4 linked regions of the Oryza sativa Japonica Group genome follow. The main gene of each other region encodes a partner of the protein of the gene in region 4 in a complex. Links are inferred from orthologs where the notes say so. Each region holds a gene or a part of one and is shown on either strand. Other genes may lie near its edges.

What was found. Proteins that work in one complex are often made in the same cells at the same time.
Region 1: probable cleavage and polyadenylation specificity factor subunit 1 (region 4) and cleavage and polyadenylation specificity factor subunit 3-II share a complex: the UniProt entries of both Arabidopsis thaliana proteins name them as parts of the CPSF complex. The link is inferred for Oryza sativa Japonica Group from reciprocal best matches to the Arabidopsis thaliana genes CPSF160 and CPSF73-II.
Region 2: probable cleavage and polyadenylation specificity factor subunit 1 (region 4) and cleavage and polyadenylation specificity factor subunit 3-I share a complex: the UniProt entries of both Arabidopsis thaliana proteins name them as parts of the CPSF complex. The link is inferred for Oryza sativa Japonica Group from reciprocal best matches to the Arabidopsis thaliana genes CPSF160 and CPSF73-I.
Region 3: probable cleavage and polyadenylation specificity factor subunit 1 (region 4) and cleavage and polyadenylation specificity factor subunit 2 share a complex: the UniProt entries of both Arabidopsis thaliana proteins name them as parts of the CPSF complex. The link is inferred for Oryza sativa Japonica Group from reciprocal best matches to the Arabidopsis thaliana genes CPSF160 and CPSF100.

What each region holds. Positions count from the first base shown.
Region 1 is NC_089043.1:18,259,389-18,263,581, forward strand, and holds the start of cleavage and polyadenylation specificity factor subunit 3-II, read left to right. Parts: upstream 1-1,391; 5' UTR 1,392-1,521; coding exon 1,522-1,546; intron 1,547-1,628; coding exon 1,629-1,815; intron 1,816-1,919; coding exon 1,920-1,992; intron 1,993-2,428; coding exon 2,429-2,546; intron 2,547-2,663; coding exon 2,664-2,737; intron 2,738-2,858; coding exon 2,859-2,995; intron 2,996-3,526; coding exon 3,527-3,590; intron 3,591-3,957; coding exon 3,958-4,023; intron 4,024-4,193. UniProt on the Arabidopsis thaliana protein: Component of the cleavage and polyadenylation specificity factor (CPSF) complex that play a key role in pre-mRNA 3'-end formation, recognizing the AAUAAA signal sequence and interacting with poly(A) polymerase and other factors to bring about cleavage and poly(A) addition.
Region 2 is NC_089037.1:36,887,669-36,891,917, reverse strand, and holds the start of cleavage and polyadenylation specificity factor subunit 3-I, read left to right. Parts: upstream 1-1,447; 5' UTR 1,448-1,461; coding exon 1,462-1,632; intron 1,633-1,751; coding exon 1,752-1,849; intron 1,850-1,954; coding exon 1,955-2,000; intron 2,001-2,102; coding exon 2,103-2,252; intron 2,253-2,531; coding exon 2,532-4,169; 3' UTR 4,170-4,249. UniProt on the Arabidopsis thaliana protein: Component of the cleavage and polyadenylation specificity factor (CPSF) complex that play a key role in pre-mRNA 3'-end formation, recognizing the AAUAAA signal sequence and interacting with poly(A) polymerase and other factors to bring about cleavage and poly(A) addition.
Region 3 is NC_089043.1:27,169,921-27,174,033, reverse strand, and holds the start of cleavage and polyadenylation specificity factor subunit 2, read left to right. Parts: upstream 1-1,311; 5' UTR 1,312-1,386; coding exon 1,387-1,535; intron 1,536-2,500; coding exon 2,501-2,669; intron 2,670-2,752; coding exon 2,753-2,849; intron 2,850-2,918; coding exon 2,919-3,045; intron 3,046-3,126; coding exon 3,127-3,242; intron 3,243-3,621; coding exon 3,622-3,716; intron 3,717-3,800; coding exon 3,801-3,952; intron 3,953-4,113. Other genes in the region: uncharacterized LOC9271620, read right to left, coding at 75-187, 881-962. UniProt on the Arabidopsis thaliana protein: CPSF plays a key role in pre-mRNA 3'-end formation, recognizing the AAUAAA signal sequence and interacting with poly(A)polymerase and other factors to bring about cleavage and poly(A) addition. Required for antisense-RNA-mediated gene silencing.
Region 4 is NC_089038.1:10,090,534-10,094,043, reverse strand, and holds part of probable cleavage and polyadenylation specificity factor subunit 1, read left to right. Parts: intron 1-351; coding exon 352-480; intron 481-572; coding exon 573-746; intron 747-3,510. UniProt on the Arabidopsis thaliana protein: CPSF plays a key role in pre-mRNA 3'-end formation, recognizing the AAUAAA signal sequence and interacting with poly(A)polymerase and other factors to bring about cleavage and poly(A) addition.

The DNA of each region.
Region 1 (4,193 bases), on a different chromosome or scaffold from region 4:
GGGTGGCGGTGGCGGCGGCGCGGCGAGGAAGGCGGCGGAGAGGCAACTGAGGCGTGGTTGAGGGATTCTGGCGTGGAGCAGCGCCGGGGGAGAGGGTAGAAGCGGCGGCGGCGCCATGGACATCGAGTGCCTTGTGCTAGGTACCCTTCGTCGTCCTCCACTCCTCTCTCTCCCTCTCCGCTTCTCGCACGGATTTGATTGATTGATGGGAATGATGCGTGGATTGATGGCGATGGCGATGGCGCAGGGGCGGGGTAGGAGGTAGGGAAGAGCTGTGTGGTGGTCACCTTCGGCGGTGAGAAGCGCGTCATGTTCGACTGCGGCATGCACATGGGCCACCACGACAACCGCCGCTACCCGGACTTCGACCGCAGTGGCACCCGCCGCTGTGCACCACGTCCTCCGCCGCCGCGCTCATCGTCGCCGTCGTCGCCTCGTGGAAAGAGCAAAAAAAAATTGGGAAAATTCGGAGGAGGAAGAAGAGGGTGGGATTTTCTCGATGAACAATTGGTCCACGTGGGCGAGTTGACTAGGCTCCATTCGTTTCCACTTAAAAAAAGTGGATTAAGTTTTGGATATTCGTGGCACGCTTTTTAAACCGTTAAACGATGTGTTTTGTGCAAGAATTTTCTATATGAAAGTTGTTCTAAAATATCAGATTAATCCATTTTTCAAGTTTGCAATAATTAAAACTCAATTAATCTTACGTTATTATCATCTCGTTTTACGTGAAACACTTAATTTTCACATTCATCTTTATATTCATCATTGAATCCCCTGAAGATAAAAATGAATATTAAGTTTTTTTTTATGTAAAATGATGTGGTATTAACGTATATTCGATTGAGCTTTAATTATTACAAATTTGAAAAATAAATTAATATGATATTTTAGAGCAACTTTTATATATAAAGTTTTTTCGCACGAAACGAGCCGTTTATCAGTTTGAAAGCGTGCCACGAAAATCTTAGGGCCTGTTCACTTTATGCCAAAAAAAACCTTACTAAATTTTAGTAATACCAAAATTTTGGCAACAACTTGCTAAAATTTTAGTAGGATTTCTTATATAATTACTAAAATTTGACAACAAACTAAATGTAGCCACTTTTTTAGTAACTTTACTAAAATTTGGTAAGGTTAAAAATGGCTTCAAAGTGAACATGCCGTTAATCTTCATCCAACTCTTGTCGGAGAAAAGAACGGGACTAGAGTGAGACCAAAGTAAGCAGCGGCTGGGCTTTTTGGTGGGCCAAGATTGATATGGGCTTAATATGCAGATAAAGCGTTTGACTGGGCTCTGACAAGCAGGGCCCATGGGCTCACACTGATATGGGCTTACTGAGAACTGGGCCGAGGCCCACAAAAGCCCAACTCTTCTAGCCGGCAAGCCCAACCAGCCGCACGCCCTCCTCGGCGGCGCGGCGAGGAAGGCGGCGGAGAGGCAACGGAGGCGTGGTTGAGGGATTCCGGCGTGGAGCGGCGCCGGGAGAGGGGAGAAGCGGCGGCGGCGGCGGCGGCGGCATGGCCATCGAGTGCCTCGTGCTAGGTACCCTTCGTCCTCCTCGAGTTCCTCTTCTCGCACGGGTTGATTGATGGGAACCACGCGTGGATTGATGGCGATGGCGCAGGGGCGGGGCAGGAGGTGGGGAAGAGCTGCGTGGTGGTCACCTTCGGCGGCGGGAAGCGCGTCATGTTCGACTGCGGCATGCACATGGGCCACCGCGACAGCCGCCGCTACCCGGACTTCGACCGCCTCCTCGCCGACGGCGCCGCCGACTACACCGCCGCCATCTCCTGCGTCGTCATCACCCACTTGTGCGTCTGCCAAAAATCGAATTGAATTGAATCGAATTTGATCTGTAGCAGCATATCCAGTTTGCTTGCACGGTTAATAGCTTTGTGAAGTTTGTGCGTTGCAGCCATTTGGATCATATCGGAGCACTGCCGTACTTCACCGAGGTCTGCGGTTACCACGGTCCAGTTTACATGACGGTGAGTTGTAACCACTAACCAGTTCATGTTTATTTGTTCAGTATTATGATTGCGCAGCTTTGGTGTATCCGTTCCAGGTAGAATGGGGTTTCATTAAAAAAAAAGGGGCTATAGTGAGGTTGAATTTCAAATTAACTTGTCATAGGTTGGATTTTTATTCATCTTAGCTATCAAATACTAATATCCATTGAGCTTGTGAGTTGTGGCTGTCACTGCAGTACTTAATAGTGGTCATGGTCCTGCGTAAATATGTTTGATGGTCTAGGGGTTCAGTGAACTTGTTGATCTTATTGAGATGATCTTGTCAAAGTATATAATACGCAAAAGGAGATGTGCTGTGAACTGATATTGTCCATCGGTAGCATGTGAAAGCTTGATTTCTCTTGCTGAGTGATTGATCTTCATCTCATAACTTAAATCGTTGTACCTCAAGCAGTACCCGACAAAGGCTTTAGCTCCATTGATGCTGGAAGACTATCGGAAAGTAATGGTAGATCATAGAGGAGAGGAAGAGCAATATAGCTATGAAGACATCCTACGCTGTATGAGGAAAGGTAAATGTTCTGTGTTCACTTTTCACATATCTTTTACTAGTCTACTTAGATATTGTGCTGGCACACAGGTATGCATGTACGATAGTTCTCATTTGGTTATTTCATTGGACATTTCAGTTATACCATTGGACCTGAAGCAGACCATTCAAGTAGATAAGGACCTTTCGATCCGTGCCTATTATGCTGGACATGTATGTGCTGTATACTTTTCTGTCCCATATTAACTGCAGTGTTATTTTTTAAATTCTTGGAAAATTAATATTAATGTTGTTCTGTACTTTCTTAATTAGTCATCATTCTTCCACATGCAAGGTTCTAGGGGCTGCAATGATATATGCAAAAGTTGGAGATGCTGCTATTGTGTACACTGGAGATTACAATATGACACCAGATAGGCACCTTGGAGCAGCGCAAATTGATCGTCTGAAGTTAGATCTGTTGATAACAGAGTATGCTACAAATTCAAATTATAGTTATGCTCTTGTGCATCATGTTTTCCTTTTGAAATGTTGACCCAGTGATGTAGTTGTAGACTTGTAGTGAATCATTGCCACTCAGGATTAGGTTCTTTGGTATGTTTTAGCAGTAATTTTGCTGTCTTGTTTCTTATAGCTCTTTTATCTTTTGTGTGCGCTTGCGCGCGTGCTTGTGTGTCCATTAACTATCTTTATGATATCAGGTTTTCCACACAGCTACGTACCAGTAAACCAGTATCCGGTTTCTGTTGTTAACCTCTGCTTTGACCTGTATGTAGTTGGAAATCTCCTTTGTAGTTAATGATTAGGTAGGTGTATTTTGCTAAATTTTTCTTGTGATGTTTCGTTTTAATATAATCCATATTTGGTTTTTATGGAATTATGGTCTACCTTGTTCTGTACTGTTGTCTTAATGTTTTACCAATACGGAATTTGAGGTGCAGTTCTTTGGTGTATCTGTTTTATGTTCAATGTGTAAGTATTAAACTGAAGTTTTATCTGCAGATCAACATATGCTAAAACTGTGCGTGACTCGAAGCATGCCCGAGAGAGGGAGTTCTTAAAAGCAGTATGAAACCTGAACCTTCACACTACCAATTTTATTGGGGCTTTTTTTATTTGGTTTCTTTTGTAACACTTATGCAATCCCCTTGGTGATGCAAGATATGTGTTACATTTATCGATGCTGATGGTTGGGCTTGTAGCATTGTGCAAACTTAAGTAGTTTTGTACATTTCTATGGCATGAATACCTCCAGGGAGTTCATGCTCACAAAATACTAAGTACAACTTGTTATTAGCCAAGAGTTTATCCCTTTTTCAAGTTCTGATACTTGAATCATGTTGATTGTGTTGACACATTGAATCTTTATAATCTTTACTTGCAAATTTCTACTTAGTAAATTCATCACTTTAATGAGAGCGTATTTTATCTAGGTCCATAAGTGTGTTTCTGGAGGTGGTAAAGTTCTAATTCCAGCATTTGCTCTTGGAAGAGCACAGGTACTCACCACTCCTCTCTTAATTATATGTGATGATGCATTTAATTTAATGGTTAAGAGTAGGATCCTTTTGGAAAAATGTCCTTTGGAGTATGCTGTTTGAAACTTCCATAATCAGAAGTGATACACTGCTGTAATGTGGAAAACAAATTAAGATTGCCTTGAAACTCC
Region 2 (4,249 bases), on a different chromosome or scaffold from region 4:
TTCCCAAAAATAATTTCTACAGTTCCCATTCGGTTTGTATAAATAAGTTATAGGAAAACCAAACGAATTTTTTCTTTTCCTTTAAGTTGTAGAGAAAAAACATAGGAAGACTTCCGTTCACTCAAATCTTTTGAAAAAATTCATATGAATTGATACGTGCATTTATTTTTTTTTCACTTTCCTATTTCTATGGATTAAAATTCCTCAAACTGAATAAACTAGCCCTCGAATCTAACGGGTTGTTTGGATCAGGGACTAAAATTTTAGTCCCTATCACATCGGATATTTAGACACTCATTAGAAGTATTAAATGTAAATTAATGACAAAACTCATACCATACCTGGACTAATTCGCGAGATAAATCTATTGAGCCTAATTAATCCATGATTAGTCTATGTGATGCTACGGTAAACATGTGGTAATTATGGATTAATTAGGCTTAAAAATTTATCTCGCGAATTAGCTCTCATTTATACAATTAGTTTTATTATTAGTCTAAGTTTAATACTTCTTATTAGTGTCAAAAACATCCGATGTGATAGAGACTAAAATTTTAGCCCTTGGATCCAAACACCACCTAAGACACCTATAGATCAATGCAAGGACGGTTGCGTACGTCAAGCCTGCACGACTCAACTTCTTCTCCCCATTAGTCTAGCTCGATGGGCTAGCTCCATGCCTGCTATCGAATTTCTCTGGGTCTATTTGGTAGAGCTCCAACTCCTAAATTTAGCTCCAGACGTTAGGTCTAGAATTTAGTTGTGGAGCAGTCTAAACCCAGCTCTACATCTCTAGTTCATTTTGTGAGAGTTCCCCATCCAACTCTGATCCATTTAAGTTGGAACTGAAATTGTTAGGCTAGGCTCTAGCTCTAGAAGACGTGAAGCTGGAGCTGAGTTGTGCTAAAGTTATGCTCCAGCTCCATGATATCTCAACCAATATAATTCGTTTCCTTCAACTCCAATATGGGATATCTTGATCCCTCAACTATTAAAACCGATGCAATTTGACTCCCTCAGCAGTTTTGGAGGACGGTTTCACGGACGTGAGTGTTGACATGGAGTTTAGATGGCATTAGAATTAAAAAAAAATATGTGTGTGAGCCCCATTCGTCATTCACACAATAAAAAATATGAGGCCCCCGTGCCATCTCCCCTCTATCCTTCTTGCTCTTCCCTCTTTCTCCCTTCTCTCTCTATGTTTCTCTTCCTCTCCACTTCGGTGCAGGATCTGGAGCAGTGTTGGCGGCGAAGGGCCGAGGGCTAGAAATCCCGGTAATTGCGGTTCAAGATACAAATTAGATTGGTTAAGGGAGCTAAAGTGAACTTACTGTCCAGCTCCAGGGCTGCTTGGACTGCAAGCCCTTCCGGGCCCAACTTAATTCAGCCTGCTTCGAGTCCGCCGTGTCCAAAGCCCTAAAAGGTCTTTCCTTCTCCGCTCGTCAGCAAGTGAAGGGGAAAATGGCGTCGTCCGTCGCCGCCGCCGCCGCACCGACCGCCGGGGGGCCGCCGGGGAAGCGGCAGGCCTCCGGCGGGCGGGAGGGAGACCAGCTCATCATCACTCCGCTGGGCGCCGGCAACGAGGTCGGCCGCTCCTGCGTCTACATGTCATTCAAGGGCCGCACCGTCCTCGTGAGCATCCAATCCCCCCACTCTTTCCCTCCAAACCCTAGCTTCCACTGCTTTCTTTTTTATGATAATTTCTGCTTTTGTTTGTCATGTGGTGTGGTGTGGTTTGGATTCTTGGATAGTTCGATTGCGGCATCCACCCGGCTTACTCCGGCATGGCGGCGCTCCCCTACTTCGATGAGATCGATCCCTCCACCATTGATGTCCTCCTAATCACCCAGTACTTATTCCCCCCACTCTCTTTTCACCCTTTTTCTTTTATTTTCTTTGCCCCTTCTGTCAAATCTGTGCGTCTCTTGCTTAACTTCGCCCTTAAAATTTGCAGCTTTCACTTGGACCATGCTGCCTCTCTTCCCTACTTCTTGGAGAAGGTAATGTTCCACCATCTTCCGTTTTTTTGCTTCGACAGTAAGTGCTCAGCTATTGCCCTGATACCATTCAGCATCCTCAAGTTGCTCTGGTTTTATTTGCAGACGACATTCAAGGGGCGCGTGTTCATGACCCATGCCACAAAGGCCATCTACAGGCTGCTCCTTTCCGATTATGTCAAAGTCAGCAAAGTTTCTGTGGAGGATATGCTGTTTGACGAGCAAGACATTCTTCGTTCCATGGATAAAATTGAGGTATTTTATCTCCCTGAATGGATTTAAATTGCCTATATAGCAGTACAGCACTTTGTCGACCCCTTTCAAATGCATATGTTAGAACAAATTTGAATGGACAGAAATCCTCTAGATGGTTGATAATCAACTGAGAAACCTGTAACATCTGATTGTTGCTTTGTAAACATTGACCATTTCCTTCCATATAGCATATTGTTGATTCTTCTTGTGATGATCGAAAGCTTGTATGTATTTCATGGAGTGAATGAATACTTTTGTTAACATAAAAATGCCTTGCAGGTCATAGACTTCCACCAGACATTGGAAGTTAATGGCATACGCTTCTGGTGCTATACTGCTGGCCATGTACTTGGCGCTGCAATGTTCATGGTGGACATTGCTGGGGTTCGCGTTCTTTACACTGGTGACTACTCCCGTGAGGAAGATCGCCACCTGAAAGCTGCTGAACTTCCCCAGTTCTCCCCTGATATTTGCATTATCGAGTCAACTTATGGCGTGCAGCAGCACCAACCCCGCCATGTACGAGAGAAGCGCTTCACTGATGTAATACACACGACCGTCTCGCAGGGTGGTCGCGTTCTTATCCCAGCCTTTGCTCTTGGAAGAGCTCAAGAGCTGCTACTTATCCTGGATGAGTATTGGGCCAACCACCCAGAGCTCCATAAGATTCCAATCTATTATGCCTCCCCTCTTGCCAAGAAATGCATGGCTGTCTACCAGACATACATCAACTCCATGAATGAAAGGATTAGGAACCAGTTTGCACAATCTAATCCCTTCCATTTCAAGCATATTGAGTCTTTGAATAGCATAGATAACTTTCATGATGTGGGTCCATCAGTGGTTATGGCAAGCCCAGGTGGTCTCCAGAGTGGCCTCTCCAGGCAGCTCTTTGACAAATGGTGCACAGATAAGAAGAATTCATGTGTTATTCCAGGTTATGTTGTGGAAGGCACCCTTGCAAAGACCATTATTAACGAGCCAAGAGAAGTGACACTGGCGAATGGGCTCACTGCTCCTCTTCATATGCAGGTCCACTATATTTCCTTTTCTGCTCATGCTGATTTCCCTCAGACAAGCACCTTCTTGGATGAGCTCCAGCCACCCAACATTGTTCTTGTACACGGGGAAGCAAATGAGATGTCAAGACTTAAGCAGAAGCTTATTTCTCAGTTTGATGGGACAAATATAAAAGTTGTTAACCCCAAGAATTGCCAATCAGTGGAGATGTATTTCAGTTCTGAGAAAATGGCCAAGACAATTGGCAGGTTGGCTGAAAAGGTACCGGAAGCTGGAGAATCAGTTAATGGCTTGCTTGTAAAGAAGGGATTCACATATCAAATTATGGCTCCTGAGGATCTCCGTGTGTACACGCAGCTATCTACAGCTAACATTACCCAAAGGATTGCCGTCCCATATTCTGGTTCTTTTGAAGTCATAAAGTACAGACTGAAGCAAATATATGAGAGCGTGGAGTCATCAACAGAGGAGTCTGATGTTCCAACATTGATTGTGCATGAGAGAGTGACCATTCGCCTGGAATCAGAAAGCTATGTTACATTGCAGTGGTCGTCTGATCCTATCAGTGATATGGTGTCTGATTCTGTGGTCGCCATGGTCTTGAACATAGGCCGTGAAGGTCCCAAAGTTGTCCCAGTTGAAGAAGCAGTGAAGACACAGGAAGAGACGGAAAGGGTGGCCCAGAAGGTAGTTTATGCTCTTATGGTGTCACTTTTTGGTGATGTCAAAGTTGCAGAGGAAGGGAAACTTGTTATATCTGTGGATGGACAAGTAGCACACTTGGATGGGAGGAGTGGTGGTGTTGAATGTGAAAATGCTACACTGAGAGAAAGGATCAAGACTGCATTCCGTCGTATACAGGGTGCTGTGAGACCAATCCCGCTTATATCTTCTTGAGCTGAAGGCGTTAAAGTTACGCTTAAACGTGTCCAATGTTTCCTAGATGAACTTAGTAGCATTACCTGTCTGCACATGAT
Region 3 (4,113 bases), on a different chromosome or scaffold from region 4:
GTTCCGTTTGAAAATAATGCGAGGAATGTAAATCACGGGATTATCTGCCATTTTGGAGAAGGACAGATACAGACCTCCTCCCACTTTTTCTGGAGCTGCAAAAGCTCTTTACAGCATGCCACACACTCAGCATGGTAAGCAGCAGCCAGTTCTTTAATCAAGGCCTTCCTTTTGATTATTCCTATCACTTCAAAACACCATGGCATTATATACAAGCACAAGAATGCTGGCAACTATTTTACAAATGAAAAATGTTTTTTAGATTTTGCAAGCAATGCATCAACAGAACTCAATATATCTCTAATACTATAATGAGGCCAGTGTACCATGTGAAAATCATGGAGAGATAAAGCTTTGACATTTCATAACTCACTCATGACAATATACTAGCAAGGTAGCTAGTACATGCATAACAATTGTACTTCTATTCAGTATCTGGTAGGATAGGATACCTGCTCCAATCATTTATATAGAGTCAAATTTTTTGCAACATACTAGACTTACTCCATCCCGAATAAACTGAGATGTTGGTTCAAGAATTACCATCCTATGCACATCTCTCAGAAAGCTTTATAAGTGAACTGAATTATGGACCAAGGGCTACGAAAATTGAGGCCATGGCCATGGCATTTGATAGGATCTTTGTGCATTCCTAGTTGTGCAGCAGATGTTTATTTCGTGTGACTGTGAGATTTCCAATTTGATTCGTGGCGAATTGTTAGTTAGCAATACTAGTTTACAAAACCTGAACCCTCTAAAGCAAATCAGTATGAGTCGTGATTTGTTATACTCTAGTACCGAATAGGAGTAACCAAATCTAGAGCACGAACACAAAAGGTAACAAAAATTAAAGGTGCGTGAGAAAGAGAGAGACCCTTACTTCGGCTGGGATCGAAGTGTTGCTCGTCGGGCTTCTTCTCCCCGTTGGCCGTCGGCTCCCCGCTGCCGCTCGCGCCGTCCATGGGATGGGAGGCGGAAGATCGCCGCGGTTAGGCCTTTGCTTAGATCCAACCAAACAAGCCAACACCCAGGAAAGGGGAAGGCGACAGAGCCGAGCCGGTTCTCTGGATGTGTATTTGTTGGGATTTCTCGCTTCTAGGTCGCCGGCGAAAAGGGGCTCGCTGGCCGGAGACGAAGACGGAGACGCAGATGGAGACGAGAGTGACAATGGCGGCGGCGGACGCAACGCTCCGTCGGCCTCGAGTAGGAAAGTGAAGGAAACCAACACAAAAGAGGAAGTATATGGGCCTCAGCCCGGCCCATGTACAGTTTTTCTGCATAAGCCTCTCGAGCGGCCCAACTACTACACTTGGACTCTTTCTCTCTCATTCCACTTCTTGCTCGCCGCCGCCGCCGCCGCCGCCGCCGGCGAAGGGGATCGATCGGATGGGGACGTCGGTGCAGGTGACTCCGTTGAGTGGCGCGTACGGTGAGGGACCCCTCTGCTACCTGCTCGCCGTCGATGGCTTCCGCTTCCTCCTCGACTGCGGCTGGACCGACCTCTGCGACCCCTCCCACCTCCAACCCCTCGCCAAGTACGCTTCCACCATTTTCGCCCTAACTCTCCTCTTGGCTAGTCGGGGTCAGCTGCTTTGGTGCTAGTCTTTCTCCTTTGCCGCATGCTGCGATGAGTTCGGATGGGATGGGGATGGGGTTGCCATGCGCGCCACCTGCTCGTTCAATTGCCTACACTTGGAGACAGTGAAGGGTTCTCCGGCTCTGCTGTGATTTTGTCATCTTAGGGTTATCTGTGTTGCTATGTAACGAATGAGATCGTCGGTTTAGGAGATTGATTTGCCTCAACTGAATTGCTGAGTCCGACAGGTGTTCGGGTGTGCTTGTGCATAGTCAGGCTTGGTGCATGTTATGCACTTGTGTTGGTGGGTCCGTGTGCACGAACGCATATGCACTTCTACATTGTGCCCATGATCCTGCATACATACCATATGGACTACTTACTGATGTGTTGTTTATGTATGACCTTAATTGTTAATTAGTATGTGCCAAAGATGTAGCTCGAGTTTCTAAACCGTGCTTAATATTGCTTCTCAAGCTTGTCTTACTGGGCGTTGCCCCTCAACATTTCATGTGGTTTTTACATGGAACCTTCAGTAATTGCTTTCATTTGCTTAAATGGTGAATATCTATCTTAAGGCAATTATAGAGTGGCATGATCAAGGCAATTTTTTGCCTCCCTGTAATAGATAGCCTGCTTTCAGGTTGAACTCTGACTCATATTTATATTTATTTTTCTATGCTGAATAAACTTATTCTTGTTCGTCTTCCTTGATTGTTGAGTAATCATGGCATAGATTTAGTAGCAATTATCTCACCAGCTTGGTACTAGTAGCCTCAAAATCATGCAAAAGTTCCATTTTAAGCTCCCATGATCTTTGTTGTTCAATTATTCAAATTACACATCTGTAAAGATTGAAGGGAACACTTGAACATGTTTCAGTATTTTTATGGATTATGAATTTGATCAGTATTTTTTTTTCAGGGTTGCACCAACAATAGATGCAGTTCTTTTGTCTCATGCCGATACCATGCATCTAGGAGCTTTGCCATATGCTATGAAACATCTCGGACTATCTGCACCAGTATATGCCACAGAACCTGTATTTAGACTTGGCATTTTAACCTTGTATGATTACTTTATATCACGACGGGTAAGCTTTCTAGTGTCCATTTTAACCTCTTGTTTGTTTCATTGCATATAGTGGATCTAACCATTCTTTATTTTCCTTTGCAGCAAGTTTCAGATTTTGACTTGTTTACTTTGGACGATATTGATGCTGCATTCCAAAATGTTGTTAGATTGAAGTACTCACAGAACCACCTTTTGAATGGTCAGTAAGCATGCTGTTGATGTATATCCTTTGCTAAATTACATCCCCTTACATACTATTGATTGGCAGATAAAGGTGAAGGAATAGTTATTGCTCCACATGTTGCTGGGCATGATTTGGGTGGCACGGTATGGAAGATAACAAAAGATGGGGAGGATGTTGTTTATGCTGTTGACTTCAACCATCGTAAAGAGAGGTTAAATCCTTCCTTTGTCATTTACTTGTCATTTTAGTTTTCTCTTTATTAGCAAATAATAACAGCAATGTGCTTTTCCAGGCATTTGAATGGTACTGCTCTTGGATCATTTGTACGGCCAGCTGTTCTGATAACTGATGCATACAATGCCTTGAACAACCATGTCTACAAAAGGCAGCAGGATCAAGATTTCATTGGTACAACACTGGACATGTTATTATCATAGCTCTCTATCTCTATCTCTTTTTCAAATGCTTTCAGCTCTAGCATTACTACTATACCCACACAGCCATGGTTGCAGGTAACAGCTCATGATAATTTTGTTGGAAGCTGTTTTTTACTTATGTTTTCTCCATCAAAGTAGCACTGATGAATATATCTTCTATTTTCCAAATTTGCAACTTGGACACAACTTTTTTTATTTCTCAATTATTTTTTAGTGCTACACATTGTTGAGTTCAATAATAAACTATTAATATTTTAGACTCCAAATATATGTTATCGTGTATATGGTTTGTTTTAGTTACTGTATGGGAATCCTCTTGTGATGTCTAATTGACATCCTGTTTCATGCAGATGCATTAGTGAAAGTTCTAACTGGTGGTGGTAGTGTGTTACTGCCGATTGATACAGCTGGTAGAGTTCTTGAAATTCTTTTGATATTGGAGCAGGTGAAATCTTGAAGGTCTTGTTCTCGTACTGTTTTATTTTGTTATGTCAATAATATGTTCACCTTTTGTCTTGATTTATTGCAGTACTGGGCTCAACGGCATTTGATCTACCCTATCTACTTTCTGACAAATGTTTCTACGAGTACTGTTGATTATGTCAAGAGTTTTCTTGAATGGATGAATGATTCAATCTCAAAGTCTTTTGAACACACTAGAGACAATGCCTTCCTATTAAAGTACGAATGATTCTTGTTACTTTCCTTTTTTTCAGTTCATCGTTTTGTTTTATTCTGTGCATATTGACAATTGCTATGCATTGCAAGCCTGAAGATTCATGATGAGCTTATTATTTTACATTTCAACAGCCCAATAGACATGTTTCCTCTATTACTTTCTC
Region 4 (3,510 bases):
CATTCCCACTTGAAACCAAACTATATGAACTTCTGTGACAAACCAAGTGAACCTGTCTGGTTGAAGACACCATATTTTAGCAACCCACAAGCACATTTTTGCAAACTAAATGCCCTCTATACTCTATATTTGACCCTTTATAATTCAATTATGGAGCTGTTAGCATAAACTGTCAGCTATAATAAAGTCATCATTACTTCCTTTTTCTATCTTCTTTTCTTCCAAATGCATGGTTGCCATGTCATTTCTATGCTTGAGATTTATCTTGTTTGAAAATTTAATGATCAAAGGTACACATGTCTGTAGGTTTAATTATATTATTCACTGAACAGTTATGCATTTTTACTTCAGAATACAACCACCAAGGAAAATGAGACCCTGTTGGCCATTGGGACTGCTTATGTTCTTGGGGAGGATGTAGCTGCTAGAGGACGTGTGCTTCTGTTCTCTTTCACGAAAAGTGAAAATTCTCAAAATCTGGTACTGTGAGGGAGCATTATTGCAATTGGGAAAAAGGTTATTACTTCCGTTACGTATCGATTGATTTGATAACATGTAAACACTAATTGCAGGTCACTGAAGTCTACTCAAAAGAGAGTAAAGGTGCTGTATCAGCTGTTGCGTCTCTTCAAGGTCATCTGCTGATAGCTTCTGGTCCTAAGATCACATTAAACAAGTGGACTGGTGCTGAATTGACTGCTGTTGCATTCTATGATGCCCCTTTGCATGTTGTGAGCCTGAACATTGTGAGTATTGAATAGCTTTTGGTTCAATTAATATGCTTTTAGGTTTTGAGCACGTAACTTTTGGTTTAGTTCCTGTTTTCTGTTCTCTAGGCATCATTTTTCCTCGAAAGTCCATGCATAATGCTGATAGGAACAATTAAATAGAAAGAAATAATGCATTAATTGTTTCTTCATACACAAGGCTATGTAAATAGTGGTTCCCTGAATCTGGCCTTACCTGATGTTTTAGCTTTGGAGTTTTGAGCCAACCCTGACTTCTATTGTGGAGGTTAGTATAATTGGAGCTTAATGCCTATGAGCCAGCTGGGACTTTGGATTTTCCAGTGTTCATGCATTGTACTGACTACAACTTCTTTTCTCATAACAAAGATGTACGACACAGCCACTAACTGTTCTTATTGCATGTTACAAACATAACATTAATTATATAGTGTTCCATCAGGTCATGAAAAGTTGTTTTGGATGTACGTCATGTCATCATCAATATCTTCTATAATATCTAGTTGGGGAACATAAAATTCATGTGTGTATTTGTCTTGAAAATTAGTTTCATAATATTAAAATTTATTGGGGTTATACATTAGTGGTTAAAGTTACATTTTTCTGACTGGATTTTTAAAATGACATGTTTTCCTGACCAGAAAATATTTCCCCAGCCAGAACAGTAAAACAACCAAAAAAATGTGGAGAAAATGATTAAAGTAATATTTTGATATTTTAACAATTGATATTACAGATGAATTTTTTTTTTGTGTATTTAGCTAAATGTTTTTTGCATAGTAAAAACATAGTGTGGAGTTAAAAATAAAGTAGTTACCATACTTTTGAGTTGAAGTGATATCCCTCTTACTGTTTTTTAAAAGGAGTAGGAACTGCATACTCGACCACAGGAATGACATCATCAATAGTACTACACCAAACCAAAATATCCGTCAAATGTGTGCACCATTTGGTTTCTCTCAAACTCAAGTTCTGGGAACCTGAAAACTGTTCCCTTTGATCATAACAAGAAACCTGTGCTAGCCAGTGTTAATATAGACTATAATGTATTTTTTTTATTACTAGCTAATCTGCTCATATGTTGCCATGGAATCTTAAAAAGAGAACCTTTGTCATACTACCTCAGTCCAAACTCTAAAAGTTTAGCTAAATTTAGCTATTATTATCTGGAGGGAGTACATTTTAAAGCATAAAATTGTTTAACTGTTTTAGTCAATTTTTGCCATCAGTTTCTAAATACATGCTGAGCTAGGCAGGGGCACAGAGCACTGTTGCTTCATGATGAAAAACTGACGCAAGTCTTTTTTTCATTCACTTTCTGGATGCCTGCTGAATTAATCATCTTCTCTATTTAATGTGAATTCATGTTATTTAGGTGCAATACAGGTCAGTACAATTCTGCTTGTGAGGGCAAAAAGACACAAACATATGCACATTGCATAATAAGTTATGACAATTCAGTCCTTAATAAATTGATTTCTATCAATACAGCACTGCTGTGATATCAGGCAGGCCGGCTACACTCTCGTACACCAGCAGGAAAGGCCTGGCCCATTTACAACTTGCTAACCTTAACTCCCATTTACACCTGCCAGCGGCCTGCAGCTTGCACCATTCGTTGCGTCCTCTCCTCCCTCTATGAGCTGGACCACGCCATGCTTCCTCCCTTCTCCAACGTTGCCACTCCTATCTCCTCCATTCTCAAGCGCCATCGGCGCCAGCCCCTGGCCCTCTCCAGCACCACCTGCCTCCAGTCCCTTCTTTGGCGAGTCTATCTAGCAGGGTCACGTCTGCAATTCTGTCCCCTTCCCCTAGTACGATTTATTCCCGTCCCCTTCCTCTCCCTCTAGCAAGTGAACCGGCAGCGCCGAGCCCGGGACCACCAGATCCGCTCAACCTGAGCGCTATGGTGCTCTTTGAGCAGCAGCAGCAACAAAACAGCCAACAAGCGGTGCGTTGTGGTGGAATTGACCATGGCGGAAGGATTCAAGCATTGGCGAAGCACGCTCAGCTACCGTGCTGCCCCGCCAAATTGACAAACAGTGGTGAGTCTCTGCACTGCTGTACAAATACAGTGGCATCAGAAGCTGGCGCCCTGCCAGATCCAAGCATGGGCGGCACAATTCCTGTTGCGAGTTCCATGGGCAATGTCCAAGGCAAGGAGGTGAACGGGGGAGTAGGCGAGGATTCCCGTTCCCCTCCTATGGATCTGTGGTCCCCACATGTCAGAAGGTTGGTGGCAGAACCACCACCACCACCACTAACATTTAAAGTAGTATAGATTTCTTGTACTTGGTGGGTGCATTTCCAATGCTACCTTTTGCATATTTAAATTAAGAGAAAATCTATTCTATGCCATTGAGTTTGTCCTGGTTCAACAATTTGCCATTGACTACCTCTTTCTATAACATACCACTGAGCATATCAATTGTTCTACAATATTTCTTAGAAAAATGCCTTTATAGACATAAGATTAACAATCGATTTATCCCATCCGAAATTTCAAAAAATAATGATGTTGTTTTGTGTAGCCTCGTTACGCAGCATAATAGTTTGTTTATAAGTTTCAAATTTTTGCATTACTATTATTTTATAAGATATAATTTATGTGTTATATGCTACTTCCTCCGTTTCACAATGTAAGACTTTCTAGCATTGCTCACATTCATTTAGATGTTAATGAATCTAGACATATGTATGTGTTTAGATTCATTAACATCTACATATATGTGGGCAATGCTAGAAAGTCTTACATTGTGAAACG